Linked DNA regions of Pelodiscus sinensis. The protein of the gene in region 1 interacts with the protein of each later gene in a pairwise test. Links are inferred from orthologs where the notes say so. Each region holds a gene or a part of one and is shown on either strand. Other genes may lie near its edges.

Region 1 (15,502 bases):
CCTGGATTGAGTCTGAGCCCGTCCACTGACAAAGGGCACCAGCGAGACGCACTAGCAGCTCCACCCAGCCCGCAGTAGCCTACTGAGCAGAACCGAAAGAACATGGACTTGCACCCTTCTCAGGTGCAAAATGCCACCATTCCCCGGGTGACGTCAGAGCTGCTTTGCATGCCTGCCCAGTGACAGCACACGGTCTGGAAAGGCAGACCCGGGCATGTGTATGGCATTACCAGTCCTGCTCCAGCTCATATTTCATAGAGCCCTTCCTTCTTGATTCCCTTCTCTGCTTTCCCGGGCAGAAATCTAATACAAGGCACTTTCATGGCACCGTTTCAGCCAGGCCATCGAACCACTTTATGAACATGGTTTAATCGTCTCGAGTCACCCTCACCACAGAGGGAAGCTGTGGCAGATGGGGTGCGAACCACAAACCCCTAGAGTTAGGCACCTAAACACACTTTTAGCTTCACTGCAACCCACAACCCTCCCCTGCGCCGTGCGGGTGCCTAAGCTTGCTCAGCACCTAGCGTTGCAGAGTCAGAGCTGCTGCCTCGCTCACGCCGAAGCCCCAGAGCAATTCACAAAGCCTGGCATCCAGCTGCCTAAGCCAGGGCGGGACCCAATCCAGGCCCAGTCTGGCTGATGCCGGAGCAGCAGCCCACCTCACCACTCCGAGCCCGCCGGTTCAGGCACTCCCCGGGCTGCTGAGGGAGAGAAGGGAGCCCCGTTTGGATCCCGCCTCAGGACAGTGCTCTAGCCACTGAGCTCGGGGGCAGTCAGATGTGGGGGTCCCTCCTGTTGAAGCTGCTACGCGCTGTACACATAACGAGAGAGAACGGAGCAGGGCCTGGCCCCCCAAGTCACCGGATTAGTCACCCCCACTCCGACTCCCTGGCTCAATGACTGTTCTGCTGTGGCCACATTTAGTGATTGGGCCAGAGACAGACCAGTCCATTGCCCAGTCCGGTCTGGGGAGGCAAAGACCCCGGGGCCAATCCCTAGACCTGAGGCTGGAGAGGAGGTGGAGCAGAGCAGAAGGGATGGGCTGCAGCACATGTCTCTGGGTTCACTCCCACAGCCCCGTGGGGAGACCCTAGCGCACAGCCAGTGCGACTTGCTTCCCACAATGGCATGTTTGCTCTGAGAAGGAACATTTGCAGAAAGACAGTTCTCTGGCGAACCAGATCACAGCAAGCTCGCCAGGGCCCAGTGTTTGCCCATGACAGATCGAACCAGCGGCTCTGCAAACAGACTCCTGAGGAAATGAAATGGCACAGTGCTGGGGGTAGTTTGAAAATGTGATGTTTAGTCAACAAAAATAAACTTACAGTCAGTACTGACCAACGTCACCTGCATCTAGTCTGCAAGCCAGGGTGGGGCAGGCGCAGGTCGGACTGCACTAGCTTTCTTCCTTGCGGTTCGCTGCATCCCGAGCAAGTTCCTTCATTCTCCTCACTGTCTCTCTCACCCTGTATCCCCTGTAAGCAGCCTGGATTTTTGTGGCAGCTTTCTCCTCTATTTCATGGGTGCTTGTTTGGTAGAGTCCACGTGTGTCAAGCTCCTTCGCGAGGGGAATAAAACCACAGAGGGAACGGCTGACAGGCTGCTCATTGTCTTGCAGCACACACCAATGCCTAAGTCGCAGTAAATGTGCCTAATGGGCAGCCCCTGAAAACTGCTGCTTCCCAAAGGCCTTTGGAAGCGGTGTGTGAACCAAAGGCTGAGAGGGAAACAAAACGTGGTTTGTCGTCTTTACTTGTTTGTTGTTGTCGCCACAGATCTAATAATCGGGGGGGGGGGGGGGGGGTTGTTTTAGTGCCAAATCCTGGGGCCCTTACTCAGGCAGAACTTCCTCTGATTCACTGGAAGGCTTGTCTGAGTGAAAACATTGTGATCTGGCCCTTATCTAAATGCCAACTGCTCCTCCCAGAGCACCAGGAACACAGCTCCCTTTTGTGGGAGACGCAGGATGCCATTAAACGAGCAGCATTTGCCAAGATTTACTACTTCGGGGGGTGACAGCACAGTTATTTCCCACTGAGCATGGGGCAAATGACGGCCTCTCACATTCCCAGGAGTGACAACTGTTGGCAAATGCTGATTGTTAAAAACGCGGAGCACTGTGAACACGCTATCGAGCATGAGAGAGACTGAGGCACAGGGCAGAGGGGGAGCAAAAGAGAGCGGGAGACAAATCAGGCTCCCCAACCTCCAGCGGGGTGCCCCAGCTGGGACAGGGAGTCAGTTACAACACCAAGTTGCAGATAGAGCAGCCTATTGATTCATTAGCTGGGGGAGCGATTCATTAGCTCGGTGATCTAGACATTAGCATTCAGAATGGGGAAGGAGGGACGCAGAACCACACTACAAAGGCAGATGGAACACTGCTCCCCCCCCGCAACTCTACTGAAAAGACTCCCCAGAGCTGAAGGTGTGACTCCACACTTCCTTGCAGTCTGAGTGTGACTCTGGGAAATCACATGCAAGGGGAGGATCCTAAACCAGCTGGGGCAAAATGTGTCTCCTAAAAGGATTTGGGCCTGGGGACTGATGGAGCACTTCCAACTCCGGCCTAGCTATCTGGACGTGGACGCCGGGAGCAGTGCCGACAGAACCAACGTCCGGGCAGACCTCGGGAGAGTACTTACTGACTCTATGGCCGGATCTCTCACTGACTCCCTAACCTCTTCTTTCACAGTTGCAGCCTCCTGGAAGAAGATCAAAAAAAAGGAAGGTTTAACCAACCGTGACTTGAGACCAGAGGAGAGCGCCAGTGGGTCTCCTTAGAGCAGAGATGGGCCTGTCGGGGTTCTACGTGTGGCCCATGAGACATTTTGTTGCCCACGTGCAGGGTGGCCAGATTCCACTGCTTTCCGGCCGCGTCGGTTTTTTCCTACCCATATTATTAAAGGGTATGTCTACACTACCCCTCTAGTTCGAACTAGGGGGGGTAATGTAGTCATACAGAGTTGCAAATGAAGCCCGGGATTTGAATTTCCCGAGCTTCATTTGCATGAAGCCGGCCGGCGCCATTTTTAAATGCCGGCTAGTTCGGACTCCGTGCCGCGCGGCTACACGCGGCACGGATTAGCTAGTTCGGATTAGGCTTCCTATCCGAACTAGCTGTACACCTAGTACAGCCTAATAGGAAGCCTAATCCGAACTAGCTAGTTCGTGCCGCGTGTAGCCGCGCGGCACGGAGTCCGAACTAGCCGGCATTTAAAAATGGCGCCGGCCGGCTTCATGCAAATGAAGCTCGGGAAATTCAAATCCCAGGCTTCATTTGCAACTCCGTATGACTACATTACCCCCCCTAGTTCGAACTAGGGGGGTAGTGTAGACATACCCTAAGTGACATGCACATAAAGCCAGGGCACGGGAAGTGAGGTGTGGGCTGATTGCACACAACATGGACCATGAGAGCCGCGCACTCCCTCTGCACCCGTCACAGGCTCATGCTGCACACTCTAGGTACACCAGCGCAGGGAGCACAGCAACCCCGTCCTGGGAGACAGTGTTAGTTATGACATCGTGCAGCCACTGAGATGGAGGAGGGCCACTTGTGCGGCCCACTCACTAGCCTAGCTTGCCCCTCACTGTCTTAGAGGCTGTTCTGGAAAAAGGCTCCCAAATGGAAATTCAGCTTCTCTCCCTCCATGTGACACTGTATTTCTCCTGGTCCCCTTTCTCACTTCAAGCCCTCACTCAGCTTCCGTGAATGGGGATTTGCAGAGCTGAAGTCTGGGTTTCACAAGGCATCCGATTGCCACTACTGGCAACTGTTTTAACAGCACCAGAGTGTGGGCAAAACACCCCGGCGCAGCTTAGACAAAACCCCTGCCCAAAGGAGTTTACTGACTAATTTTTAAGTTAGCAGCAAATGCAGGAGACTGGCTGGAAATCAAGCTAGAACCTTGACTCCTATGTCTTTGTGGTCAACATGCACGGGAGGTCCCTAGCAAGGCCATTTCTAAACACGCAGCAGGGTATCACCTCTCTGTACAACACAGCGAAATATGACTTGTATCACACACCCCACGGAGCTGTCCATGCCCTGGAGGGGAGCTTGGGTGCCTTGCTCAGAGTGCTAAGACAACACAAGCCATGTTCCTGGATCTGGATCATGGGGGGCATCTGTCTTACTCTGCGCCCACGCTTCCTCAGCAGGCCGACTTCGAATGGGGAGCCAGGTTGAGAAATTGGCCCTATTTCTGACCAAGCCCATTCCATGGAAGCCATGTCTTGCCACAGTACAGAAGATGGATTTCCTCTCCATGCAGCTGAATGCGGAGCCTTGTGTGTTCAGAAGGAGGTTATCCTACCCCATTCTTCAGCTGCACAGAATAATCACAACGGCACCCTCTGACCGGAGGTGCAAAAGGGTGAGGGGCGATTTGGCTCGGTAGCCCTGTGCTCTGAAGGAAGAGCAGCGGCTCAGCCTACCTCGAAAGCTTTGTTGTTGTAGAATCTGTCCTCTAGTTTAGCTCCCCATTCTGCTGGGTCCGATCTGGATTCTGAAAATAAAAACCGACATTCTTGTTTGATCACATAAATGTCAAGAGAGTAATTAAGACAGGAAGCTCCCCAGTCAAATTACACTCACTGTGGGTGGCAGCAGGATGACAGGGAACATAAGAAGAACATAAGAACGGCCATTCTGGGTCAGACCAAAGGTCCATCTAGCCCAGTATCCTGAAGCAAAACTGACAGACTCAGAACAGAGGCAGCGTGGCTGTGAGAAAAAGAAAGGCTGTTTTCTGCACAGCCCCCAGGCGAGAGTCAAGGCCCTGCCAGCTAAGGAATGCCTTGCAGTGGTGGTTCTAGGAACAGTCCCAGAGGAGCAAACACACCCAGGAGCATCTAACATCTCGGGACAGAGCCACAATTAAAGCACACGGGAACAGCGTCCTCTCTCATTTTTCCCACCCCTGAGCGGAATCAATGTTGTTCTCTGACCAGCGAGATAACATGTCACTTGCTAATTGGGCACATAACAAAGTTCATATGGTGGGGGGGCCAAGGGGTTCTGAGTATGGAGTGGGACTCAGGCCTGGGGCTGGGGGGGTGCGGGCTCTGGGGTGCGGCTAAGGATGAGCAGCTTAAGGCTAGGACAGGGGGTTGCGAGGGAGAAAGGACTCCATCTGGTGGTACAGGCTATGGGGGTGAGTACTTTGGGGTGAAGGAGGGTGCTCCAGGGACTCTACTGCAAGGAGCGCTGACTCCCTCAGCTCTCTCGCCTCACAGCAGCATCGTGGACAGCACCGCTCCTCACCTTGGCAGCTCCAGGGCTGGGCCTCCCAGGCTGCAGCAAGGATGGGATGGACGGGCTCCAGATCAGGGCCAGGCTGCCCAGGCTGTGTCGGGATCAGGGCCGAGACTGGACTGCCCTGGCTGTGTCGGGATCAGGGCCGAGACTGGACTGCCCTGGCTGTGTCGGGATCAGGGCCGAGACTGGACTGCCCTGGCTGTGTCAGAGTCGGGCTGGGCCAGGTGGCCCTGGCTATGGCAAGTTGGAGTACAGACCAGGTGATGGTTGGAGTGATGGATCAGCCCTCCCCTGGCCACTGCAGGTTCCTGCCCTGCCCAACCTGCTGAAGCACCTGGCAGGTGAAATAGGTAGCTGCACAGCAAGGGAGCTCAGCGCAGGAGACCCCCTGGGCTGGCCAGGCTGTGCGCAGAGGCCCGTGCCTGCCGGCACAGCATGCACCAGCTTGAACAATTCACTGGGGCCTGTGGTGACCATGCTGCCTCCCATGGGGAAATGGAGATGACCCAAGAAAATGGCCCCACTGCAGATCCTAGAGGGACTCACGTGTCCAGAAACCGCTTGCCCTGGAGCAGTAAGCCAGTTACCCTCAGGCCCAGTGGCTGACCCTCACCCCAGGTTAGTGGGGTTCTCCTACAGCCCTGAGGGGTGGCCCCCATCACCCACAGGAGCCATTCAAAGCATAGGGTGGAAGTCAAAGTGAGAGGAGTAGCCTGGAGCCTGCCAGAACCAACCAGCCCCAGGAACCTCCTCCTGCCTGCCCCTTCCCTCTGGGACAGAGCATCAGCTGGCAGGCCAGGGGGGACCCACAAGGAGCTTTCGTGGGCAAAGGCGATAAAGGAAATGGGGCACAGGGAGACCAGAGCCCCGGGGGACCCCAGGAAGCAGCCACGGGCATTTGTGCAGTAACCCTGGGCTCAGTGAGAGCCCTTCCAGGGGGACAAGCCACCCCAGACCTGAGCGCGGATCCAGGGCTCGCTGCACCGCCCGTGGCAGAGCTGGGCAGGTGGGGATGCTGGAGGCGGGCGCCTGGGTCACCCAGCGGGAGCAGAGCTCAGGGCTCCCGGCTCCGCCCGCCACTCACTGTCCCGCTTGTCCAGCAGCTTCTCGAAGTGCTGGGCGGCGAAGGCGGGGATGTCCGCAGGCTGCTCCCGCAGCACCTCCCGGGCCAGCCCCTCCAGCAGGTTGGCGAAGCCGCACGGGATGCGCTGCTGGGTGTTGGAGAAGGGGATGGACATGGCGCGGCCCGGCACCTGCGGGGGGAGCGGGGGGCAGGGCTGTGAGACCGGCCGGGCCCGCGGGCAGCGATCGCCCCCCACCCCCCCGCGGGCAGCGATCACCCCCCCGCCCCCCCTCCGCAAGCAGCGATCGCCCCCCCCCCCCCCCCGCGGGCAGCGATCACCCCCCCGCCCCCCCTCCGCAGGCAGCGATCGCCCCCCACCCCCCCCCCCCGCGGGCAGCGATCACCCCCCCGCCCCCCCTCCGCAAGCAGCGATCGCCCCCCCCCCCCCCCCCCCGCGGGCAGCGATCACCCCCCCGCCCCTCCGCCCCGCGGGCAGCGATCACCCCCCCGCCCCCCTCCGCAGGCAGCGATCGCCCCCCACCCCCCCCCGTGGGCAGCGAACACCCCCCCGCCCCCCCCCCCGCGGGCAGCGATCACCCCCCCCGCCCCTCCGCCCTGCGGGCAGCGATCACCCCCCCGCCCCCCTCCGCAGGCAGCGATCACCCCCCCGCCCCCCTCCGCAGGCAGCGATCGCCCCCCACCCCCCCCCGTGGGCAGCGAACACCCCCCCGCCCCCCCCCGCGGGCAGCGATCACCCCCCCCCGCCCCCCCCCGCAGGCAGCGATCACCCCCCCGCCCCCCCCCCGCAGGCAGCGATCACCCCCCCGCCCCTCCGCCCTGCGGGCAGCGATCACCCCCCCGCCCCCCCCCGCGGGCAGCGAACACCCCCCCGCCCCCCCCCGCAGGCAGCGATCACACCCCCGCACCCCCCCCGCAGGCAGCGATCGCCCCCCCACCCCCCCCCGCGGGCAGCGATCACCCCCCCCCGACCCCCCCCGCGGGCAGCGATCGCCCCCCCGCCCCCCCCGCGGGCAGCGATCACCCCCCCGCCCCCCTCCGCGGGCAGCGAACACCCCCCCCGCCCCCCCCCGCGGGCAGCGATCGCCCCCCCCTACCCCTCAGCCGCTGCTCTCCGCAGTTTCTCGGACGCTTCCGTTGCCTGGCAACAAGACCCCGCCCCCCACCAGCTGGGGCTGGTGGCTGGGGAGGGACAAACGCGAAGCCAAACCTTGGCCCCGCCCATCTCCCGCTAGGCCCCGCCCCTGCCCAGGCCATTGGCACAGAAGAGCCTGGCCCTGAGGGCCCGCCTCCAGCCCCGCCCCCAAACCAGGGACCCTCTTCCTCCCCTGCCCACCCCTCTGCGTAGCACCTGTGAGCACCCGTCGATTGCACGGGACACCCAGCTCCTTGGCACAAAGACGGGACCCGGAGCCAGACCCAGCAAACCGCCTGCGTGCCGGCCGACCCGTTCGGACCTGGCCCTGAGCCAGGGGCCCCCTTGTTTTATGCCACTCCACTGTTTACTTCCAAATGTTGGGTTGTACCAGCTCAAATGCTTTATAGGCCTCTCAGGGCATTTCATCAAAGCTAGTACCCTTATCAAATTCCTTTGACCCATCTATTTTCCTTAAACCCATTTTGATTTGCATTTATGACTTACCTTTTAGTTTCCTAATGGGTCCTATCATCCACTCCATTAGCTTGACTGAGATCAATATCAAGCTGACTGGTCTATATTTAGTCAGCCTGTTTACCCCTTTTTAAAAAATTGGCACAACATTAACTTTCTCCCAGTCTTCTGGAACTTTCCCAGTGCTCCAAGACTTGTTTAAAATAATAATTAATGGTCTATTGAGTGCCTCAGCCAGCTCTTTTAAAACTTTTGGTTGTGGGTTATCTGCTCCTGCTGATTTTAAAATGTTTAATTTTGGTAGATTCTGTTTTACATATTGGTGAAATGGAACAAGTTATCATCACCATAGGATGAGATTATATCAGAAAGGAAATATTTACTGAACACTTCTGTCTTTCCTGCACTGATATTGATAATTCTACCATTTCCATCTAATAATGAACCAATACCATTATCAGATTTTTTTTGTCCTAATATGTATGAAAAATGCCTTCCTTTTGTCTTTAATTCTTCTGGTCATAGATGTCTCCTTATGTCCATTTGCTTCCCTTATCAATTGTCTACAGTTCCTAATTTCTGATTTATATTAATGATCAACATCAACTTAGAGGGGAGGGATAACTCAGTGGTTTGTGCATTGGCCTGCTAAACCCAGCCTTATGAGCTCAATCCTTGAGGGGGCCACTTAGGGATCTGGGGCAAATCTGTCAGGGATGGTACTTGGCCCTGCCATGAGGGCAGGGGACTGGATTCAGTGACCTCTCAAGGTCCCTTCCAGCTCTATGAGATAGGTGTATCTTCAGATACTAGCCAATTAGCCTGTCATAAGATGGGATTTTCAGGTCTCTCCTCCATGTTGGTCTTCTCTCCTGAGCCTCTGGTCTCTCGCTCTGTGTATCTTTCTCTCTCTCTCCGCCTCCTCCTACTGCCTCCCCCCCCCTCTCAGCTCTCCTCTGCCTTCTGTCTCTCTCTTTCTCTTCTCCGCCTCCTGCCTTTCACTCTCTCTCCGCTCCTCTGTCTCTGTCGGGGATGCACGCTTGTCCAGGCCCCATGGGTGTGTACGTCACCGCCCAGTCCCCCTTTGCCAGCCACCGTGGTGCTCAGCTGACTTCTGCGCCGCTCAGGCGCGCCGCCCCGTGGGAGCAAGCAGTGCAAGCGGCCGTTTGGGCCCCGCACTCTCCATGAAGCACCCCCGTGTTGCATGGGGAGCGCGGACCCCAAATGACCGCTTGCTCCTGCACGGCGGCCCAGCTGAGCAGCGCAAAAGTCAGCTGAGCGCCACAGTGGGAGGCAGCAGTGCCGCCCAGAGGGAACAGCCAGCATTTCAGCACTAGAGTCACAGACATTGGGCTACTATATATATATGATTATTTAAAGTGTGACACTTTCTTCCATTTATACATAAAAGTTTTTATAGATGTCTTCACTTCCCCTCTAAACCAGTTTAGTTTTTTAATGGGCCATAGCTTTTGTTCTCATTCGTGGGATTGCAGCTTCTTGGGCACTTGGTAAAATGTACTTGAATTATTCCACATTATTCCACATATTTTTCTAATTATTCTTCCTCCTAGTGTCAGCTCATAGTTGTTTTCAGCTGTGTAAAACTGGCCCCGTTAAAACACCATAACATGAAATGTCCCATTTCATTTACTACTAAGCCCATTTAAATCAATAATAAGTTGGCGTGGCTGGCTTGATGCCATTCGGGGACTGAGCTTGCTGCTATCAAGTCAGGCTGCTTTGGTTCATATTTCAGAGCATTCAGACAGACCCGGAAAGTTTCCTTATGCCTATGGCCCGTGGAGGCAGAACAGCACTCCAGAGGAGAGCCAGAGAATTGGTTACTGTGGGATAGCTACCCGGCCCTTCGCTTGAACCCGGCAGTCCCATGGGCTACGTCTAGACTGGCATGATTTTTCAGAAATGCTTTTAACAGAAAAGTTTTCCGTTAAAAGCATTTTCGGAACAGAGTGTCTAGATTGGCACGGACACTTTTCCGCAAAAGCAGTTTTTGCGGAAAAGCGTCCATGCCAATCTAGACGTGCTTTTCCGGAAAAAAGCCCCAAGGCTACAATAGTGGAAACACAATACTGCCCTGCTTACTTCCGGGCTGCTGCTGGTGACAGTGCTACCTTCTGAGCTGGGAGTCCAGCCAGCAGCCGCTGCTCTCCTCTTTGGCTGCCCAGCTCTGAATGCAATGCCACAGTCAGACGTGCAACTCTGCGAGCCCCTACAATAGCCAGATTTCACAAGGGGCTCATGGCTCTTTCCAGCCAATAAACACTTCACCTTGTCACGTTAGGCGGAGACTCCCAAAGGCACCTGCGGGCTTTGGATACATTACAGTTCAGGGGAATTGGATATTCCAGGTGCTACCAAGCAGAGAATATTTTTGTCTCTGCATGGGCAGATTTGACTGTAAATGCCCAGGGCCCCCAGTGCCGGCCTAAGCTCTGGAGCAGACCCGTGTTAACATCACGGACGAGGCGTTCCGCGTTATTTACACCGCTTCTGGTTCTTTTGAGCTAAGCCAAGTTATAGGGCCATTCAGAGCCCCTCTGCCAGGAGGGCTTCTTGGCTGCAGGTTTGATTAAGGGCTGGGCCAGCCTGTCTGTGTAAGGACTGAGGCCAGCGCCGGCAGGAAATACAGTCTGTGCCCTTGTCCAGGGCGACTCCCATTACTGACACCACCAGCACTGGGCCAGAGTTGGAGCTGATGATGCTTTTGCACCCGCTGGGCTCTGTGCTGCCTGCTGGGCCCTTGGGGACACCATCTCCCTGACTTGGTGCGAGGGAGTGTAGGGATTTGCATAGCAGTGCGGGGGAGGCCCCAGCCGTGACGCAGCCACTAGATGCATCCACAAGAGGACAGCCCGTCCCAAGGGGCAGAGAAGCAGACCTGGGGGGAAGAAAGTACTTACAGAGGGAGGCCTGGAGCACGGAGCTTCTCCACTGCTCAGCACCCAGCATGGGCAGCTCCAGTGCAGAGATGGGAGTTGAGCTGCCGGGGGCCTCCACAGTCCCTCAGGCCGTCTGTGCCAGGCACTGGATCCAGAGCTCCCGTGTCCCACCGGACCCTCCTCAGCCAGGAGCCGGTGGCTTTAAGAACTGCCCCCAAGGCTAGCTACAAGTAGCATGTCTCCCGCCCCGTGCTGTCTCCTCCCTGCCTAGCACTGGCCCCAGCCTCTGGGCAGAAATGCCGCTTTACTCTCTTGCTTCAACATACGTGAGTGCCAAGGGAGGGCGGCAGAACTGCTGCCTGCTCATGCAGTGAACGCCAGCCCCCACTCTGCCTCCAGCGCGCCTGCTGGAACCCCCTGGCTCCAAGGGATTGAGTAGCCTGCTCTTAGAGCTATCGCCCGGCCCCAGGAACCCCTCTTCCCCAGTCCAGGCTCGGAGACCAGCCCTCTCCCTGGGGGACTGGCCACCTCTGGTGTTTACCCGGCCCCTCTGACCCAACTGAGTGTCCCAGGGCTGCTGGGGTTCTCCTCCCACCCCCTTCATGGCAGGGCCATGCTGGCAGGGCCAGTATGAGTTGGCAGAGCAAGGTGCAAATCACCAGCACGCACACTCACCCAGCCCGGCTCCCCTCACTGGCGCCGGGACCAGACGCACCCGTAAAGAATGAGCCAGACACAGTGCTCACTTGGAAATGAACCATTTTCCTTCCGCCCTCGTGCCCGGGGCCGCTGCTCCTCTCCGTGCCTGTGGGGCCAGTCGCCCTGAGCTCAGTTCTGCCCAGCAGATCAGGAGCGAGTGCTGGGGCTGCTCAGGGAGTAATTGCTACAGAATGAGAACCGGGCCCCACGGCGGTGCTGTGTCAGCTGGAGGCAAGGGACCAGCCGGGGGATGACTGGACCGGCTCAGATCAAGCCGTGGAGACGCGCCAGGAGTGCAGAGCCGATCCTACCGCAGTGGGGGGCTGGGTGAGCTGCCTGGAGTTGCCCTGGGAATTTATTCTTGGCTCCATTGCTCAGTCGCCCAGAATGCCTTGTGAGCATGCGGTGGGGGCTGCACGCCCAGCCTCAGGAGGAGCCAGGCAAGCCTGGCTTGCAGCCAGCCTCTCTCTCTGCACCTGCGGCGGGTTCCGCGTCTGGAGGAGGGAGAGAGGAGACAGTCACCAGTGGCGGGGGCAGTATGCCCTTTATTTCTAAGGGAGAGACCAGCCGCACCTGCCTCCCTCAGGACTCTCCTTTGTCCAAAAGACACGGTGAGGGGTTCGGCCTCAGCCCCCCCACTGGGTAACGCTGGGGGGGAACTCTGTCCCGCTCCCCTGGCGCTAATGAGCACCAGCCTAATGCACGAAGGCGCCTGGCTTGGTGTCTGATCGTAGCTGGCTACTCACGTGTAGCCGATCCCCAGGCAGCGAGTGCCACGTGTGTACGTTGTGCCCAGCGCCCTTGTGTCCAAGGTACTGCCCTTGCCTGGCCTCTCCTACAGGGTGCCGGGAGGCTCCCTCTCTTAAGAGAGGCTTCAGGGATCTCTCCAGCAAACAGCCCCAGGTTTTCAGGGCGCCTGTTCCCTTCCCTCCAGCTGCCTGGCCTGGGCACTGGGATCCTGGCTGGCAACTCCCTTGGCTCCACTCTGAGCTCTAGCCACCGGCACAGCTGGTTGCTCTGTACCTTGGCACTACTGTGGGGACACAGGGACGCCCCCTTAGCAGCAACTCGGTCACTCCTGTGGGGAGTCACTGAGCCGAGGAAAGAACCAGAGCTGGGTACCAGGCAGGGCCTGGATTCGAACCCAAGTCCCCCACCTCCCAGGCTGCTGGGCCTGCATATCTCTAGCCCTGTGCAGGGGTGGCAGCTACAATCAGCCCATGCCCATATCCAGGGGATCCACCCCGTGGCACCAAGCTCTGCGAAAGGGAGGAAGCAGGTTGTGGATCCCAGGCTATCCAGGGGCTGGAACAGCTGTTAATGACCCAGGTGCTTTTCAACCAGAGATCTCAGGGCACCACCCACAGGGGGAGAAGGATCCTGCTCCCATTTTACAGAAGGGGACACTGAGGTGCAGAGGGGGAGGGAGTGTCACAGCCAATAATAGCAGAACAAGGAAGAGGAGCCAGGAGTCCTGGCTCCCAGGCCCCAGTTCCACAGCCCAGGATTGCATTTGCGGGGGGTGGGGGGGAGAGACCGGTCCACTGATCAGAGCAGCAGCCATGAGGCACAAGACAGCTCCCCTCTGCAGGGCCCAGCCAGTCCAGAGAGCAGGCAGCCAGCTGGATGCCACCCCACAGAGTGCAGGAGCTGGGGAGGGCCAGTGAGCACAATGGGGCAGGGGCAAAAACCAGGGCAAAACGGGGTATGTAGAGCAAGGGGCAAGAGGGCCAGGCAGTCAAAGAGCTCAGGCCGGAGTGCAGGGGACAGGCCGGGTCTGGAGCCCTGGCGGGGTAGGGCAGTTCCCGCGGGGAACGTTTGCTCAGGCAGCTGCCAGGGCGTGGGAACAGGAGACAGGCACAGGGGAGCCCTAAATTTCCAGCCCAGCAATTGACCGCCAGCACCCACCAGAGGCCTTTGGGGACCCCAGAGAAGCAAGGGCCCAGGGCTCCTGGCTGCTGCCCCATGGCCTGCAGGGCCAATGCTAGGGGGGAAGTCCCCCAACGGCCGAGCTTCGGCTCCCTCTGCGCCGCGCAGGCGGCCTGGCTCTCAGCTACCTGCTCGCCAGTGAAGCTGGTTCAGCCGTTACTATGGCAGCCGCCCGCCCACATGCAAAAGCCAGACGCTGCCAGGAAGCCTCAATGCCCCAGAAAGGTGGGTTGGGCCCGTCAGTGCCTACACCAACCAGGAGAATGCCCCTTTCTGCCGCCAGTGGCCGGCTGCCCTCTCGGGCTGGCCTGCGGCACCCGGTGACCTGCCCAAGGCACTGCTGCTGCCAAAGAACCGGGGGCGGCGGGGGAGGAGGTTGTGAGACGGGCCAAGGAGCAGGCAGGTCCCCTCCGCACCAGGCTGGGCAGAGCCGGGGATGCGCCCGTGGAGTTGGCTGTGCCTGTACTTGTGCCCTGGCACGTCTGCGTTCCACAACGACTCCACGCAGGGTTTATCCACCGCGCTCACACTCCGACATGGCCACTTACTGGGGCAGCCAATCAGGGAACAGACAGAAAATCACATGACTTATGTAACTAACCTGCCCTTTGAATTTTTCATCGATAATGAGGGGCTGAGGAATGCCCTGCAGCCAGTCCTCGGCCTGGCTCTTGGGGCAGGCCCCCAGCAGCATGTGTGCCCCACACAACGCCCTGGCCCTGCTCGGCTGAGCTACAGGCCAGCTTCTGAACACTGGCCCTTGGCCTTCTCCCAGGACACACGAGGACTGGGCAGTTCCCTGGCAGACGGGGGTTCACTGCTCAGCACCAGGATCCCTGGGGTGGGGGGGAGAGGTAAGGAGACGCCAGCAAGGAGAATGCAGGGCGACAGACCAGAGAAGTCTCTCCTGGACGTGCTGGGCACCCGCCCAAGACACTCGGAAGGGGGCTGCCCAGGGCATGGGGACCAGCGGGGGAAGCTCACCCCAAGCCAGGTGCCCAGATCTGGCGGGGAATGGGGGCAATTTGCCAGCACTGCTGATTTTTCATTGGCTTCCCACCAAGATTTCCCTGCTTTGATTCAAAGCAGCCCAGAGGGAGGCTCCATCTGACTCTTACCCAGGACTTCACTGCTCGGAGCAGGGGGGTTTTCCTCAGCACTCGCCCCGCAGCCCAGGGGGGGCGGTTTGGATGTCTCCAGCCCGGCCAGGAGAGTCATGAAATCCACCACAGTGTCGATGTGGTGCGGGCCGGCAGGGGCCTGGCTCAGGGCGCAGACAGCGCTCAGCCGGCTGAAGGACTTGAGCTCCGAGATGTTGGCCTGCAGGAAGAGGAGGATGAGGTTGAGGTCGTTGAGGGGGCAGGTCAGCATCTTCCTGCTGAGCAGGTCGAAGGCAGGCAGCATCTCGTAGACGGCCAGCAGGCGCTTGTCCCAGTGCAGCAGCTGCAGCACGTTGTAGAGCAGTGCGGGCGCCAGCAGGGCGTAGACCCCCCCGTTGGCCAGGCTGATCAGCTGGAAGGCGGAGAAGGCGACCAGCTTGCAGGGGATGACTGTGGGGACCTGGGGTGCGTCCCGGAGGAGCCCACTCTTGACGGAGCAGCTGAACTCGTCTTGCACAAAGACGCGGAGGAGGAGGAAGCCCAGGTAGAGGCAGGCGGCGGCGAGCAGCAGCAGCAGCAGCAGGTTGCGCAGCAGGTAGGCGCCCACCAGGCTGTGTGAGCGCTGCTTGCAGGCCAGGTAGCGCTCCAGCAGTGGGAACTCAAAGTACCGCTCCCGGCGGGCCCTGCGGAGACACGGGCGGGGCAGAGCCTCAGCAGGGTAAATCAGGCGCTTCCTGAAGTCGCTTGACACCTGGTTAGAGCCTGCCCCTGCTTTAACCGGCCACAGAGCCGGGAGAGGGGGAAGAAGGGACCTCAAAGGTCAGCTAGGGCAGCCCCTGCATGCCCTGGCCCTGAGCACAAGGAAGCGATGGGGGCTCAGGGACAGGGCACACGCTGGAGGGGTCTTGAGGA
Region 2 (14,656 bases), on another chromosome or scaffold:
ATCTCCACAGCTCCTGAAGGGCTCTAAGCCCCCCAGCCCCTACGTCAGCCTCGTCGTCCAGGAGGTGTCCCACAAGAGCAAGGTAGCGGGGGATGGGGGGGCTGGCCTGGTGGGGGGGGCTGCTGGAGGGGGAGAGGCACCAGGACAGGTGGGGGGTGTTGGATGGGGCCCTGTGGGGTGGGGGGGTGGTCTGGGGGCTGGCCTGGTGGTGGGGGCTGCTGGAGGGGGAGGCATTGGGGGGTACCTGAACCCAGGGTTGTGCTGTGGGGAGGGGCACCCCTGCGAGTTTGAGGGGAGGGTGGCAGCTGGTTGGCGGTTCGGGGGGGGGGGGTCCTGGCTCCTCTGCTTTCACAGGCTCCACCTTCCCCCCCCAGGTCTCCCGTGCCAACGCGGAGCCCATCTGGGACGAAGGTTTCTCCTTCCTCGTCAAGCGTCCCCATGTGGAGTCCTTGGAGCTGCAGGTAAATCCCCCCCCAGTGCCCCCTCCCGCACTGTCTGACTCGGCCTGAGCCCTGACTGTCCGTCCCTCCTGCCCGCAGGTGAAGGACGAGGGGGGGCAGGGCCTGGGGGCGCTGAGCCTGCCCCTCACCCAGCTGCTGGCGGCCGAGTCGCTGACACTGGATCGCTGGTTCCCGCTCACCCGCTCCGGCCCCACCAGCCAGGTCCTGCTGCGGGTGCAGCTCAGGGTGAGTTGCCCAGAGAGGTGGGGAGGGCTGGGGGCGGCGGGACTCAGTTTATGGAGTGTGCAGGGGCACTCGATACATGGGGTGAGCGGCTGGGGCCATGGGGTGAGGGAACTGGGGGGGGGGGGCGCGTGGGGCAAGGGGGTTCAGTGCGGGGGCGAAGGGGGGGCATGGAGTGTGAGGCTGGGAGTCTTGGTGTGGGGGGGCAGGGCACGTGATGTGTGGGGTGAAGGCGGCTCAGGGCTTGGGGGACTGGAGGCCGAACCCCTCTGATTCCCTTCTGCCCCCAGATCCTGCTGTCCCAGCACTCGGGGGTGGAGCCCCGCAGCGCCCCGTCAGCCGGTGACGAGGCCGAGAGCCACGCGTGGGGGCCGGGGCTGGAGCTCTACACCGGGGAAGACGGGGACCCCGGGGGTGCCAGCCCCGCACAGGATCTGCGTCAGCGCCTCACCCACACGGACAGGTGGGGGGCCACCCACGTGGGGGGTGCAGCTGGGGGGCACCCGGGGTTCCCATCCATTCCCTGGGGGATTATGCCTCCTCACCTGGCCAGGAGTCACCACTGGGGGGGGGGGGGTGCTGCCGTAATACTACTAATAATGAGCCTATTATAATGGGGCTCAGATCTCAGCTGGTGTCTCTAGGAGCTACCGTAACACCACTAATACCAGGTGCGCTAGCATGGGGCTACCCTAATGCCACTAATAATGGGCAGACAGTGGTGCACCCATAACCTCAACTGGAGCCTCTTGGTGCTACCGTAATTCTACTAATAATGCACCTGCCCAAAGGGGCAGGATTCTGGGGGCCCCTGTAATGCTGCCCCCTCTCTTCGCCGCAGTAACTCGGAGCTGGCAGAGGGCCCCCTGGGCCAGCTGCAACTCACAGCCTGGTACCATACGGACGAGCGCAAGCTAGTTGTCGTCGTGCATTCCTGCAGGTAAGGGGGGGCGGGGATGGGGATATGGAAAAGTTGGGGCTCCTTGGGAGGGGGGGCTGGGTTCTCTGGCTACCCCGTATGAGTTGTAAAGTCCTCTTGGCCAGCAGGACGCGGCTGCGGGCTGTGCCCCCCTACTTCAAGATGCCACTGCGGGGGGCTACCGTAATACTACTACTAACGAGCCTAATATAATGGGGCTCGGATCTCAGCTGGTGTCTCCCCCCCTGAAGCTTCCCTCCCTGCAGCTGTCTGGGTCTTTGAGGTCCAGCCGCGAGGGTCGCCCCCGTGCCCATGCAGCCTGGGCCCCCAGCAGGGGCCATGCCCCTCTGGCTTGCGGGGCAGCCGTGCGGCCGGCCAGTACAGCTGGGCCATGCTCTGTCCCCTGCCAGGAAGCTGAGGGCCAGTTCCAAGGACATTCCCGACCCCTACGTCTCCCTGATCCTCCTGCCCGACAAGAACCGCGTGACCAAGAGGAAAACCACCGTGCGGAAGAGGACCCTGAATCCGGAGTTCAGCGAGAGGTGAGGGGGGAGGGAATCGGGGGGGACTCGGACGTGGGCAGATCTCTGCCCCTGGGCTGGCCCGAGTCCCATCTTATGGCTTCGTGCCCCCCCCCCCCCCCCCGGCAGGTTCGAGTGGGAGATGCCCCTCGAAGAGGCCGCGCGGAGGAAGCTGGAGGCCTGCGTGAAGAACAGCGTCTCCTTCATGTCCCGGGAGAGGGAGCCCCTGGGGAAGGTAAGGGGCTATCGCCATGGTTACCACTGGGCCTCCTGTTTCGAGTGGGGCTCCGGTCGGGGAGACGGGTGGGGGAGCGATCAGCTGACCGCAGCCTCTCTCCCCCAGGTGCATCTTGACCTGTCGCAGATGGACCTGAGCCAGGGCAGGGCCCAGTGGTGAGTAGAGGGGTGGTGGCTAAGAGCACCCCAGCTGAGCAGTCTGGGAATGCCCCTCCCCCAGCTGAGCAATACAAGGAGGGGTCACCCCCCACAGCTTAGCAATGGGGCGGATCTGGGTGCACCCCACAGCCGAAGTCCAGGGCCAGTGGCTCCTCTCGAGCTCCATAGCCCCAGACCTGGGGGGGGCCTTGTGCCCACACCCCCTTAGCCCTGAAGAACTTCAGGCTCCCCCGGGGGGAGGGGTAGCTCAGTGGTTTGAGCATGGGCCTGCTAAACCCAGGGTTGTGAGTTCAATCCTTGGGGGGGGGCATTTAGGGATTGGGGCAAAATCTGTCAGGGATGATGTTTGGTCTGGACTGGACTCAATGACCTCTCGAGATCCCTTCCAGCTCTATGCGATAAGTATATCTCCATATGTTTTAGGGGGGGGGACCCTTGGGAACCTGGGCTGTCCACACTGGGGATCCTGAGCACTGTGGGTCCAGGAGCCTGGGGCGCCATCCCCAGCCCCATGGTCACTTCCAAGCGCCCTGTGGGGGGAGTAGCGGGCAGCCAGCTGAGCTCTGCAAAGGCACCTCCGCATGGCGGTGGGATGTGGTCTGGGAGGGGGCACCCCCATTCATGCCCCCCCCCTTTGCTCTTGCAGGTACAACTTGAAAGACGACAGGAGCAGCTCTTAGTGCCACGACACTCCCCCGCTTCCCAGCTGGGGCCAGCCCAGGCCCCCTGGCGGCACCGGCTTTCGCTTGCGTGTCTCTAAGCCCGCCTCTCGCCCCTTCTGCTCCCTGGGACGCGATGGAGAGGGGAGCCGGGGTGGGGGAGCCACGGCCCCCCCGAGGATGCCAAATGCTCTCTGCCTTTTAACTGACCAAAGAAAACGGACCTGGGGGCGGAGCTGGGCAAGGGGGTGGGGCCTTGTCAGCGGGCATCAGTCCAGATGCAGCAGGTGAGGACGTGGGGCAGGGGTCAGCCCCCCCCCAGAGCCCACCAGCCGGGTCCGAGACGCAGACCGTGCCGGACGGCCCTGCAGGGCGGTGCTCAGCAAGTCCGAGCTGGCACACGGCACTGTCCCAGCGCGGTAGAGAGAAGAGCCCAGATTCCAGGGTGACGGGCACAGCTGGGGCCCCGAGGAGGGCAGGGATCCTGTCCTGTGGAGCGAGAAGGAATGATTTCCATCCCCCACGTGCTGTATCTTCCTCCAGCCCCGGCAGGAAAAAGCTCCCAGATGCCCCCACCCCCAAGATCATGTGCCATCACGAGAACCCACCGCCCCCACTGTGACATGCAGCCCTGCCTGTTCTGCGCTATGGGCCGTGGCTGTGGCTCGCCCTGTCCAAGGCCCTCGCCTTGTTTTCCATCCCCCCCCCCCCCCCCCCCCGAGAGTTTCGTTGAATGTTTTGTCTTTGCTTGTGCCAATTTCTCAGCTTTTTAATGTTATTTATCTCAGGTGCCTTTTAGTTGTTTAAAAGCAGCTGGATGGGGGGGGGGGGCTCCAGGCTGGTTGGACGGGGCACAAGGCTCGGCCCTGCCCCCCCCCCCCCCCGGGCAGGGCGAAGGCGGATTTCCTCCTGCCCCCCGCTCCAGCCCCAAACGCTCGCTCTGTATCCATCTGCATTGTGAACTTGCTGCTTTGTGAGCATGTGCACCACACGGCCCGGGCCTGCACCAGCTGGGCACCTCCTCAGCCTCTTCCGCAGCAGAATCCACCAGCCTGTGGCAGCCACCGCCTGCCCCGCCAGGCCAGCCCCTCGCCCGGCACCGTTGTAACCGCCTCTGCCAATAAAAGTGAGGAGCCGACTGGCCCAGCAACGTTGATGTCCCCTTGGAGGGCTGGGTCCCAGGGGAACCGGGACCTGAACTCTCATGTCGTTAGTGAATGAAAGGGGCGTGGGAGGACTGCAGCCAGGCTGCCAGCTCCCGTTGAGCCTGATGCTTGCTGGATAACCCCATCCCTGGAGGGGAATGTCCCACCTTTGAGGGGCCCAGCCAACTTCTTAACTCCTGGGGTCAGTTCCCAGGTACCCCAGCCTAGGAAGGGACCTGCCGCAGGCTGGGTGGAGGTTAGATTCCCCCTCCCCATCTGCCCAGTGGCCAGCTCTTGCTGGAGCCGTGCGCTCTACCCTCCTGTATGTACCGGGTGCATCCCAGCCGTGGGAGCTGGGTCTGATGGAGGGGGAGGAAGCATCGGCCTGGCCTGGCCTGCCTTGCCCCCCCCCTTCCGGGCTCCCCCCCATTCCCTGGGAACAAGCCAGGCCTAAGTTAACACTGTTGCCCACTGAAGGCTAAAGCTGCAACTTGGAGCCCAGTGGCTCACTCCCCCCCACACTGACCTTGGCCCCAGTGCCAGCGCTGGGCAGAGCTGGCTTTCACCTGGCACCAGCCCCTGCTGGAAGGGGGATGTGCAGGGCTCTGCCCCGGCCAGGCACTGCCCAGCAAGACAGCCCCTCTGCCCAACAGCTGCCCTGGCAGCCCCAGAGGTGGGGGCCTGGCAGCAGGAGGGCTGCGATGAAGCAGGGGTGAATTAGCCACCAAAGCTGGGTTCATGTGCTGTCTTGCGGCTCCTCCCCTGGAGCCCCAAGGGGCTTCTACCAGCCCTGCCCAATCCCCAGCGCCCCTGCTGCTTCTCTTGGGTCCAACTCTGGGGAAGGAGATCTCCGTGGGGCCAGAGCTGCTCCCTTGTGGGCCCGATATGGGGCCTGTGAGGGGCTAGGCCACATGTCCAGTTTTGCCCTCGGTTCCATGGGCTGTGAGTCCTCGTCTCTCTCCGGAGGGGAGGAAGCGGCCCTGTTTCACTGGGGAAACTGAGGCACAGGGTGGGCACAGCCCCACCCAGGGTGCAGAGCTGGGGGAGGGGGGAATGAGCTGGCGTGGGAGACAGTCAGGCCCTGCCCCCACCCCTAAGGATTCATGTGTCAGGGCAGGGGAGCCAGTTTCACGGATATGAAGGGGGAATTGCATCCTCCCCACCTAGTGCCAGGCCGGGATCCCCCCCCCCCAGCACCCTGTCAACAAGGGGAAGCGCTGGAAACTTCGTGGCATTCAGGTGCCCGAGTCACGTTTCAGCCGGTGGCGCTGGGCCCCGGTCCCTGCTCAGCACCGCGGGCGCCCTGCCAGGCTCGTTAATAATAATCTACGGAGAAACCCGCTTCATGGGACTGCAGGGCAGGGGGGGCACGTCGGGCCGTGAGCCAAGCCCTAATCAAACCGTGACGGGGGAGCAGCCAGCTGGACTTTTCCATCAACCCCTGCTTAGCCTGCAGGGCTGGGCCCAGGGCCAGATCAGGACAGGCCCTTTTGTTTCCACTCAGGGTAATTTCCAGGTGCTAATCAACCCACCCAGGGGCCGAGGGACTCTCACGGCGCTGCAGCCACCTCTGGGGTGTGCCCCCAGTAGCTGCTTAGAGCTCGGGGCACCCCGTGCAGAGTGCCGGATGCCGGCCGTACCTCACAGCAGCATATGAGAAGGGGTAAATCCTCGGCTGAAGCCACCCTCCCCAGTCACAGCCAGTACCCCCCTAACACACACACACCCCCACGTTCAGTGCCCCAGGACTGTGGCCTACAGCACCCAGCCACGGACCAGGCTGTCTGCCCAGCTTTGACAGAGCGGTGTCCCCAGCCCATCGCTGCTACCCCTGCCCGTCCCTGGACTTCGGAGGGGCTAGAGACGCGGCCCAGGCCTTGCTGCGTGGCGCCCGGACGCCTGGGTTCTAATCCTGAGGGGGGGAGGCCGAGGTGCTAGTGCAGGAGCAGGGGGGCTGCTGACCCACAGAAAAATCAGTGGGGGGGCCACAAGTGACGTGGCCCCCCACTGGGAAGGTGACAGACACGTGCTACGTTCGAGCCTGGGGCGGGGGGTGCTCAGCCTAGTAGATTTTGTGTGTTTCAGCCCCATGATGGAGCAGTGCGGGGGGGGGGGGGCGCTGAGGTTCCCCAGCCCTGCACTGGTGGCTTGTGGAGGAGCCCAGATGCAAGGGGGGCCGGGGGAGAGGCTGGGAGTCAGGACTCCTGGGTCCTTAAGCCGCTGCCCCCTGTCTCTGGCCCGGCCCTCACCTTCACCAGCCCTACGCTCATGCCCCTCCAAGCCTGCTTGGGCGGGGGGGGGGGGCATTTCCTCTGGCAGGCGGCCTGGTTCTCTGGTGCATGCTTGGCATGGCTGCTCCCGGGAGCTCACCTCTAAGAAAAGCCCTGGAGTTGGATGGCGGGGGCGGGGGGGGGGGGCTGCCACTTCTGACAATGAATGATGCTCTCCGTTTAGCCCCCCCTCTCCCCCAGCACTGCCCTTATCTAGCGCGCCTCCGGCCTGACGTCACCCCGGGCTATTTAAGCTGGGCCAGGCAGGGCAGCCCCAGGCTGGGACTTTGCCACGGCCCCACAGCCGCCTCCGCCTGCACGAGCCGCCGGGCGCAGCCGCCATGCCCCCCAAGAAGGAGCTGCCGGTGAAGAAGCCGGTGGCTGCGCCAGCCAAGCCGGGTGCCAAACCAGCCATCGCAAAGCCAGCGGCTGCAGCAGCGAAGCCCAAAGCCCCAGAACCGGCCCCGGCCCCGGCCCCACCCCCGGCCCCGGAGAAACCCAAAGAGCCGCCGATCGACCTCTCCAAAGTGGTGGTATGTGGGGTCGTCACCCGGGGGGGGGGGCAGGACTGCAGCTGAGGGGGGGTTCCCCTCAGGTGGTAGCAGCACCCCAAATAGAAACCCACCCTGCCTGCCATGTGAATGGGAGAGGATACCCCAGCCTGCACCGCGCTGCCCACTTTGCCCAGTGCTGGGCAGATAAGAAAACACCCCTGGGACTAGCACCCCTCTCCACCTGCTTCCCCGTGGCCCCGAATACTGCCCCTCCCCCCAGCGCCTGCATTTGCAGTGGGTGGGATGGCACCCCTCCCCCACATGCTCCCCTGATGGTTGCTGGAGGGCCGGGGGCTCCCCCAGGTTTCATCAGGGACAGAGGAGTGAACACCCCCCCTCCTGCAGTGAAGGCCACTATTCTTCCCTTTTCAGATGGGTAAACTGAGGCACAGGTGGGTGCTGCGATTTGCCCAATGTAAACCAGTGGTAGAGCTGGGACATGAACCCAGGAGTCCGGATAGCCCTCCTCCCCCCCCCCCCCGTTAGATCCCACTGCTGTCCCAGAGCTGGGACCAGAATCCAAGAGTGCTAGCTTCCAGCCCCCCGGTCTATCCTCACCCGCTTTCCAGCGCTTCACAGCAGAGCTGGGACTGAAGCAGGGGATGGGAGGGGTCCGTGGAGCAGCTTAATCTAACGGAGACTCATCTAAGCAACCAGCTCCTAGACAGTGGCCAGGAAGGGTGGGAGGTCTAGTGGTTAGAACATGGTGGTGGTGGTGGGGGAAATCAGCGAGTCAGGTCTCCTGGGGTCTGTCCCTGGCTTTGGAAGGGCAGTGATGTCTAGGGGTTAGACAGGGGGATTAGGGAGGCAGGATTCCTGGGTGCTATCCCTGGCTTTGGAAGGGCAGTGATGTCTAGGGGTTAGACAGGGGGATTAGGGAGGCAGGATTCCTGGGGTCTGTCCCTGGCTTTGGAAGGGCAGTGATGTCTAGGGGTTAGACAGGGGGATTAGGGAGGCAGGATTCCTGGGTGCTGTCCCTGGCTTTGGAAGGGCAGTGATGTCTAGGGGTTAGAGAGGGGGATTAGGGAGGCAGGATTCCTGGGTGCTGTCCCTGGCTTTGGAAGGGCAGTGATGTCTAGGGGTTAGAGAGGGGGATTAGGGAGGCAGGATTCCTGGGTGCTGTCCCTGGCTTTGGAAGGGCAGTGATGTCTAGGGGTTAGAGTGGGGGTGGGGACGCTGGGAGCTAGGACACTGAGAGCTGGTGTTATTCCCAGCTCTACCATGGCTTTGTTTCCAGCTCTTTCCAACAATGGCCAGAGCCCCTTGCCAGCGAGACGGCGGTGGGGGGGGGGCTGTTAGACAGTCACAGATGGGGGCCCTGAGCTCAGGCCAGGATAAATTTAGCCAGTGAGCAGGCCCCTGTTATTTTAATGACAGGGCTGGAATGGGCCTGCCTTCCCAGGCAGCCGGCTCGGGAACAGGTGGCCGCGGGTGGGGGGATTAGCACCCCCTTTTCCAGGCAGATTTATTTCAGCCCCAGCGCCGGGCACTGCTTTGCCAGGCCGCCACCTTCTGTGTGAAGGGGGTCGGGTTGCGGTGGCGGGGGCCGGGGAGCCCCACCCGCCAGGCCTCTGTGCAGGGGACAGAATGCAGCAAAATTCCTGAGGCAGTGAGGTAGGGCCCCTATAAAGAGTGTGACCAGGGGGCGATCAGGCCCTTATATGTATTCAGCTGCATGCCCAGCCCAGCGCCCCCTGCTGGCCGAGACCGGGCCTGGTGTCCCTATGACCCTGAGCCAGGGTCTCTGCCCCATCCCCATCCCCACAGCCCCCCCAGCTGGGGCAGGAGCAGACTCAGCCCTCATCTGATCTGGATCAAAACTTACAGGCCCTTTCACCATCAGCATCACACCCATCCTGCCCCCCACCTGACCCCTATGCCATGGGACACATTGCAGACCAGAAGCGGGGAGGAGCTCACAGCAGACCCATGGCTTGCCCCACCTCCCAAAGGCCAGCACTGGCTGCTGCATTTCCCCAATGGCTGGCAGCCCCACAGAGCCTATGGTCAGGCAGGTAATGACCGAGGCATCCCCCTGCCATGAGGCATGTAGCAGGATCGGGCCCTGGCTCTGCCCCAGAGCGTGTTGCCCGGGCCCAGGTCCGTAACAGACTGTGCAGCTCCCCTGTCTTAGTTAACATCCATTTCTCTCTTTGCAGATTGAGTTTAACAAGGAGGAGCTGGAAGGTAAGCCATGCGTCTGTGTGGCAGGGCAGCACTTCCACCAGCCTGCCCCCACTACATCCAGCTGTTTCCTGCCTGGGGGATCTTCTCCTGGTGCCTGGTTACATGGCACCAGCCTGCAGGGGGGCACTGGGCTTTGGCCACAGAGAGCTCTCAGCCTGGAGGGGCTCCCCCAGAAACTGATCCCAACCTGGAGGGTAAATCTCTAGGCCTGCCGCAAGGAGCTGGGATTAGAACTTCTGGCCTTCTGCGCCAAAGCCACCACCCTGGCCATGTGAGCGAAAGGAGCCCTCCCTCAGCCTTGCTGCAGTAGCAGGTCTGGGCCATTTGTGGGCGCCCTGTCCTGTACACCCCAAAGCAGCAGGCTCTGGTGCCCTCGTGTGGTAAGGAGCCATCCCACGGCCACGCTGGGAGAGGCGTTAACCTGGGCCCAGCGTCATAATTGGGCATTCGTTCAGCCAGGCCCCGGTAGTTGCAATCCGACACAGATGTGGGCGTCACTTCCTGTCCTGCGGTGCGTGGGTGGTATTGCTTAGCCGCTGTCGCATTCCTCCCCAGAGGTGGCTGCATCTCAGTGGTGACTAAGCAGTTGCCAGGTTTCACCCCAGAGGTGGCTGCATCTCTGTGATGCTCCCTGCGGGGGCCATACAGGATGGTGTCCCTTGGGATGGGGGGACACAGGTCTCGGGGTGAGGACCCCGGCTCCTGCTGGGGTTGGCGATTCCTGGGCTTTGCGCCGGGGCGTGGCCCCAGTTACAACTGGATGCCAATAGGAAGGGTGATCTGGACCGGGCTGTGCCCCCCCCCTCCAGTCTGGCCCCGATCCTGGCATGAAGCAGGCAGGTTAAACGGGCCGAGGCTGTGGGGTTCCAGCCCCTCTGACCTGCTCCGCTCCACCCCCCAGATTACAGGGAGGCTTTTCAGCTCTTCGACCGGGTTGGGGACGGCAAGATCCAGCTAAGCCAATGTGGGGACGTGCTGCGGGCCCTGGGCCAGAACCCCACCAACGCCGAGGTCATGAAAGTGCTGGGCCACCCCAAGCCCGATGGTGAGTGAGCAGGCGCCGGGGGGGGGGGGGGCGGCTTGGGCGCTAGCAGACAGTGCCCAGAGCCCCAGCGCCCGGAGTCAGGGGAAGCGGGAAGCGATGGCGGAGAGGGGGGAGAAGTCTGGATCCTGGTGTAAGGGCACGTGCCTGAGTCTGGGGGGGGTCTGGCACAGTTGCTCTAAGGGGGAGACCCCCTCGGGTCTCCAAGGGGCGTTTCCTCCAGGCCCCCCTGCTCTGGGGGGCTCCCATGGGAGTGGAGCTGGAGCCTTTCAGAGATTGTTGGCGTCAGCAGAGAGGGGTCCCTCTCCAGGGGACGCCCAGAGGAGGCTGCTGCTGCCCTCCAGGGACAGCCTAGAGCAGTGGTTCTCAAAGTGTGATCCATGGGCTCCGGGTTCCCCTCCCCGCCACAGCAGGGCACCTGAGCGGGTGCTCTAGTCCCACGGCCCCCTCCCCGCTGCAGGGGGGGTGGGACTTGCTGGCTGGATCCAGCGTACAAAGGGAGAAAGCAGATTGGGAAACTGCTCACCTGGAGGCTTTTCCCGCTGCTCCCATTGGCCAGAATCACGGCCAATGGGAGCAGCAGGGGGTGGTGGCTGGGAGCAGTTGGGAGCATGGAGCCAGATAAGCAACCCCCCATCACCCACATGCCCAGACCCCACATCCCCTTCCTGCTGAGACCCCATATCCCCACCCTGCTCCTTACCCCCACCTCCTCACAGTTCCTGTACCTCCCTACCTCCCGCCCAGCCCCTCCCCCCTCAGCCCCCGCCTGCACCTCTTTTGTCACCATGGGTGGCTGGCTGGTGGCCCGCAGAAAGGTCTGCATTGAGGCCAAAAAGTTTGGGAACCTCCGGCCTAGAGGGAGGAGGCCCCCACTACATGCCATGGGGTGTGGCTGGGCTATGTGACGGGGGCATCAGGGGCCCCATGCGGTGCTGGACCGCCTCTCCCCAGCCACGTGGGGGTGGCTGCATGGCAGGGCCCCCCTGGGCTCGGGCAGGGGGCAAGTCCCACGGCGCAGCCTCAGTTTCCCCCTCCCGGCAGAGCTGAACTCCAGGCGGGTGGAGTTCGAGCAGTTCCTGCCCATGCTGCAGACCATCGCCAAGAACAAGGACCAAGGCACCTACGAGGACTACGTGGAGGGGCTGCGGGTCTTCGACAAGGAGGGGAACGGCACCGTCATGGGGGCCGAGCTGCGCCACGTGCTCTCCACACTCGGTGAGCGCCCGAGCCAGCCCCTTGCAGCTGGGAGGGGGAGGGTGCCCCAGGCCAAGACAGCTGCCCCTAGGCTGGCGAGGCTCAGTGAATCTGGGGCAGAGACCCCCAGGTATCCGGCCTGGCACAGCCCCTTGCCAATGGCCCTGGCTGTGCCAAGGCGGCTCCGCTACTCGGCTCCCCTGGGCACGGATGGGCAAGCTCGCCCTACCGCCCCCAGGCTGGACCCATCTGGGGCAGGGGAGGGGTGGCGGTCGGGCATTACAGGGCTCCCTGGACTCGGCCCCCACAGGGCTGTCAGTCCGGCACCTGGGCGGGGCGAGTGCCAGAGGCGTGACGCCCTGTCACTGGGCAAAGACAGGATCCTCTGGGTGTTGGTTGAGCCTCTCGCCAGCGCTAACCCCCCCCCCCCCCCGGCCCACAGGCGAGAAGCTGACGGAGGAGGAGGTGGACGCTCTCCTAGCTGGGCATGAGGACGCCAACGGCTGCATCAACTACGAAGGTGGGAGCCCAGGGTCAGCCCGGACTCGGGGCCCTCTGGCCGCAGGCTCTGAGCCAGAGGGCTGGGGGGGGCCCAGTGGCCCCTTTCTGTGACTAATGCTTCTCTCCTCCCCTCACAGCCTTCGTCAAACACATCCTGTCTGGCTGAGCAGGCAACATGGGGTAGGTGCCCCCTTTTATTCGTCAGACTCCTTTTTGGGGGTGGCTGCTCCTTTCTCTACCTTGAGACCCCCTTCCCCTCGACCCTGCCTCTTTGCCAGGCCCTGGGCAGGTCCTCGCTCACCTGTGTAGCGTAAAACCCCTCTGCTCTGGCAGAGATGTGTTTTCCCGGCCGATCCCCTCCCCCGGAATACCTCCCAGTTCAGCGTCCTTCGTCCCATTCTAGTGGGGGAAACTGAGGCAGAGGGATTTGCTCAAGGTGAGCAGCAGGTCAGTGGCTGAGCCAGGCGCAGAAGCCAGGTCTCCCGCATGCTGGTCCGCGTGCTAACCACTAGGTCATGCTGCCTGAGAAACAGGCCCGGGTAGGATGCCCGCAGACAGGGCCAGCGTGAGTCTGGCTCAAGCCTGGTGAACTAGCTCTGGTACCAGCTGTGGCCCAAGACCATCAGACCGGCCCAGCTCCACTCTGCAGCACCGTGTCCCTAACGGGGCCCTGCAGGGTGCAATCAAACCTCTGAGGGGCCTGGGGAGCTGCCTCCAGAGCCCCAGGGGGGCCCCAGGGTGGAAGAGCCCCATGCAAAGGGGGCAGCGAGGCTTTGCTTTTATCACTCAGGATAGGGCATCGGGGTGCCTGGCCCCTACGCCCAGCTCTGACGTGGCCTCAGGCAAGCCCCTTCCCGTGCCTCAGTTTCCCCACCCCTCAGCACACGTCCCTTGCGGGGCTCCCGAAAGCTCCAACTCACCAACACCGCCCCGGCTCCCAGCGCCTCTGCTAGGCCAGCATCCTGCGGGCACAGCGGGTGCCCTGCGCACGCTGGGGCACCTGAGACCAACCCGCTGGCCCCGCTGTGCCGGGGAGAGATTCCCTCCAGCCTGTGCCCCGGGGCACGGAGCTTGAGATCAAAGCGAAGCTCTGGGGCGGCTCCTCCTCCTCCTGCCCCTGCCCCAAATGGGGCCCCAGCTCCCCAGATGGGCCACACGGGGCCTCTCACTGTCTCCTCTTCTCTCCCCAGGCCGGGCAGGATGGGGCTAAGCACCTGACATCTCCGGTGAAGACTCCTAGGCCCATCAGTCTGCGGGGGGGGGGGGCATGTCCGCTGCTCCCTTTTTCTCTCTAACCCCTCTCCCCCACCAATGGCCGCTGCAAAGGACTTGTAAACGCCTGACCGGAGTCTCCAAGGCCTCAGGACACCAGTGGCTGAGGATCCAGCAAGGGGGGTGTCGCAGGGTCCCCCCGAGAACAACGGCCCAGCCCAGGGGAGCCCACTAAGCAGATCTGCGGCCCCGCTCCAGATCCCCAGGCAGGAACGGACCCAATCCCCCTTGTGCCCGTCCTGCGTCTGGACAATAAAAGCCGTTTGTTTCCAGAAGCCTCTGGCCTCTAGGGTTCGTGTGGGGCCTCCTGCTAGTGGGGGAAAATCCCCCCCCCCACCGGCGCCCTAAGTATTCCAGGGGAGCCGTGGTGCAGACACCCTGGTGCTGGCAGAATTCCCTGGGGAGGTGAGCTCTGGAGTCCAGAGCCAGGGAATGGCAGCAGGGTCCTGGAGAAGTTCGGGGAAACACACCCACTGGTTCCTATTTGTATGGGGGTGAAAGGCTGGGACTGGAAGCACAGGGATCTGCCCCAGCAGCCCCCAGGCCTGCCCTGTGGCCCACAGCGCCCCCTGCTGGGAGCAGGAATTCCTCCCCTGCTGGTTTCTTTCCCGGCACTCACAAACTCCGCTCTTGTCCTTTTGTTTTTCCATTTGCTGCGTCCTCGGGTTGCCAGCGAGACCCAAAAAGTGCCATCGGCAGTGGAGGGTCGCCCCCTTCCCCTCCCCGCCTGCCGTTTGCAGAATCCCTGGCGTTACCCCTCAGTCAGGGAGCAGCCACTAGTAGGGTTGCCAGGTGGCCGGTTTTCACCCGGACAGTCCGGTAATTGCATCTTCTGTCCGGATTAAAAAAAAAACCAGAAATGTAAAATGTCCAGTATTTTCTGTTTTTCTGGGACGGAAAGCCAGTGAGGACATTTTGCCCCAGCTGCATCTGGCAGGGGTGCAGAGAGTGGGGAACGCAGGAATTTAAAGGCATAGCAACTCTTTTTTTTTTCCCCCCCTCACCCAATTTTTTTTCCCCACCATATTAGGGATTTTTTGTGAAGATATCTGGCAACACTAGCCACTAGCTGTGTTATGGCCCATTTGGGACCTGGGAAAAGCCAGCACCTTCCCTGCCTTCCAGCGGGAGGCACCTGGCTCCAGGCGGTTTGGAATTCCTCTGCCCTCTCCTTGGAAAAGACTCGGCACGTCAGCGCCACCGAGACGGAGACACAGGCTGAGGCCTGTCACTAGCCGAGCCATGTCGGGGCATTCGCGGACCGGCATGGGGGTCCCACTGGCCCGGCTGCCCTGGAGGCCGAGAACTGC

The links.
Region 2: the proteins of SPA17 (region 1) and myosin light polypeptide 6 interact in binary tests that used the Homo sapiens proteins (3 or more experiments, as listed by UniProt). The two-hybrid records come from large-scale screens. The link is inferred for Pelodiscus sinensis from reciprocal best matches to the Homo sapiens genes SPA17 and MYL6B.

The regions. Positions count from the first base shown.
Region 1 is NC_134736.1:12,365,365-12,380,866, forward strand, and holds SPA17 (sperm surface protein Sp17), read right to left. Parts: upstream 7,586-15,502; 5' UTR 7,445-7,585; intron 6,520-7,444; 5' UTR 6,505-6,519; coding exon 6,351-6,504; intron 4,733-6,350; exon of another isoform or gene 4,680-4,732; coding exon of another isoform or gene 4,604-4,679; intron 4,515-4,603; coding exon 4,444-4,514; intron 2,709-4,443; coding exon 2,649-2,708; intron 1,562-2,648; coding exon 1,400-1,561; 3' UTR 1,287-1,399; downstream 1-1,286. Other genes in the region: PANX3 (pannexin-3), read right to left, coding at 11,988-12,055, 14,609-15,273. UniProt on the Homo sapiens protein: Sperm surface zona pellucida binding protein. Helps to bind spermatozoa to the zona pellucida with high affinity. Might function in binding zona pellucida and carbohydrates.
Region 2 is NC_134729.1:4,092,605-4,107,260, reverse strand, and holds myosin light polypeptide 6, read left to right. Parts: upstream 1-6,831; 5' UTR 6,832-6,934; coding exon 6,935-7,126; intron 7,127-9,306; coding exon 9,307-9,334; intron 9,335-10,235; coding exon 10,236-10,379; intron 10,380-11,420; coding exon 11,421-11,594; intron 11,595-12,015; coding exon 12,016-12,093; intron 12,094-12,211; coding exon 12,212-12,240; 3' UTR 12,241-12,254; intron 12,255-13,264; 3' UTR 13,265-13,621; downstream 13,622-14,656. Other genes in the region: ESYT1 (extended synaptotagmin-1), read left to right, coding at 11-82, 375-461, 540-686, 974-1,146, 1,525-1,623, 2,013-2,144, 2,253-2,358, 2,467-2,516 and 1 more. UniProt on the Homo sapiens protein: Regulatory light chain of myosin. Does not bind calcium.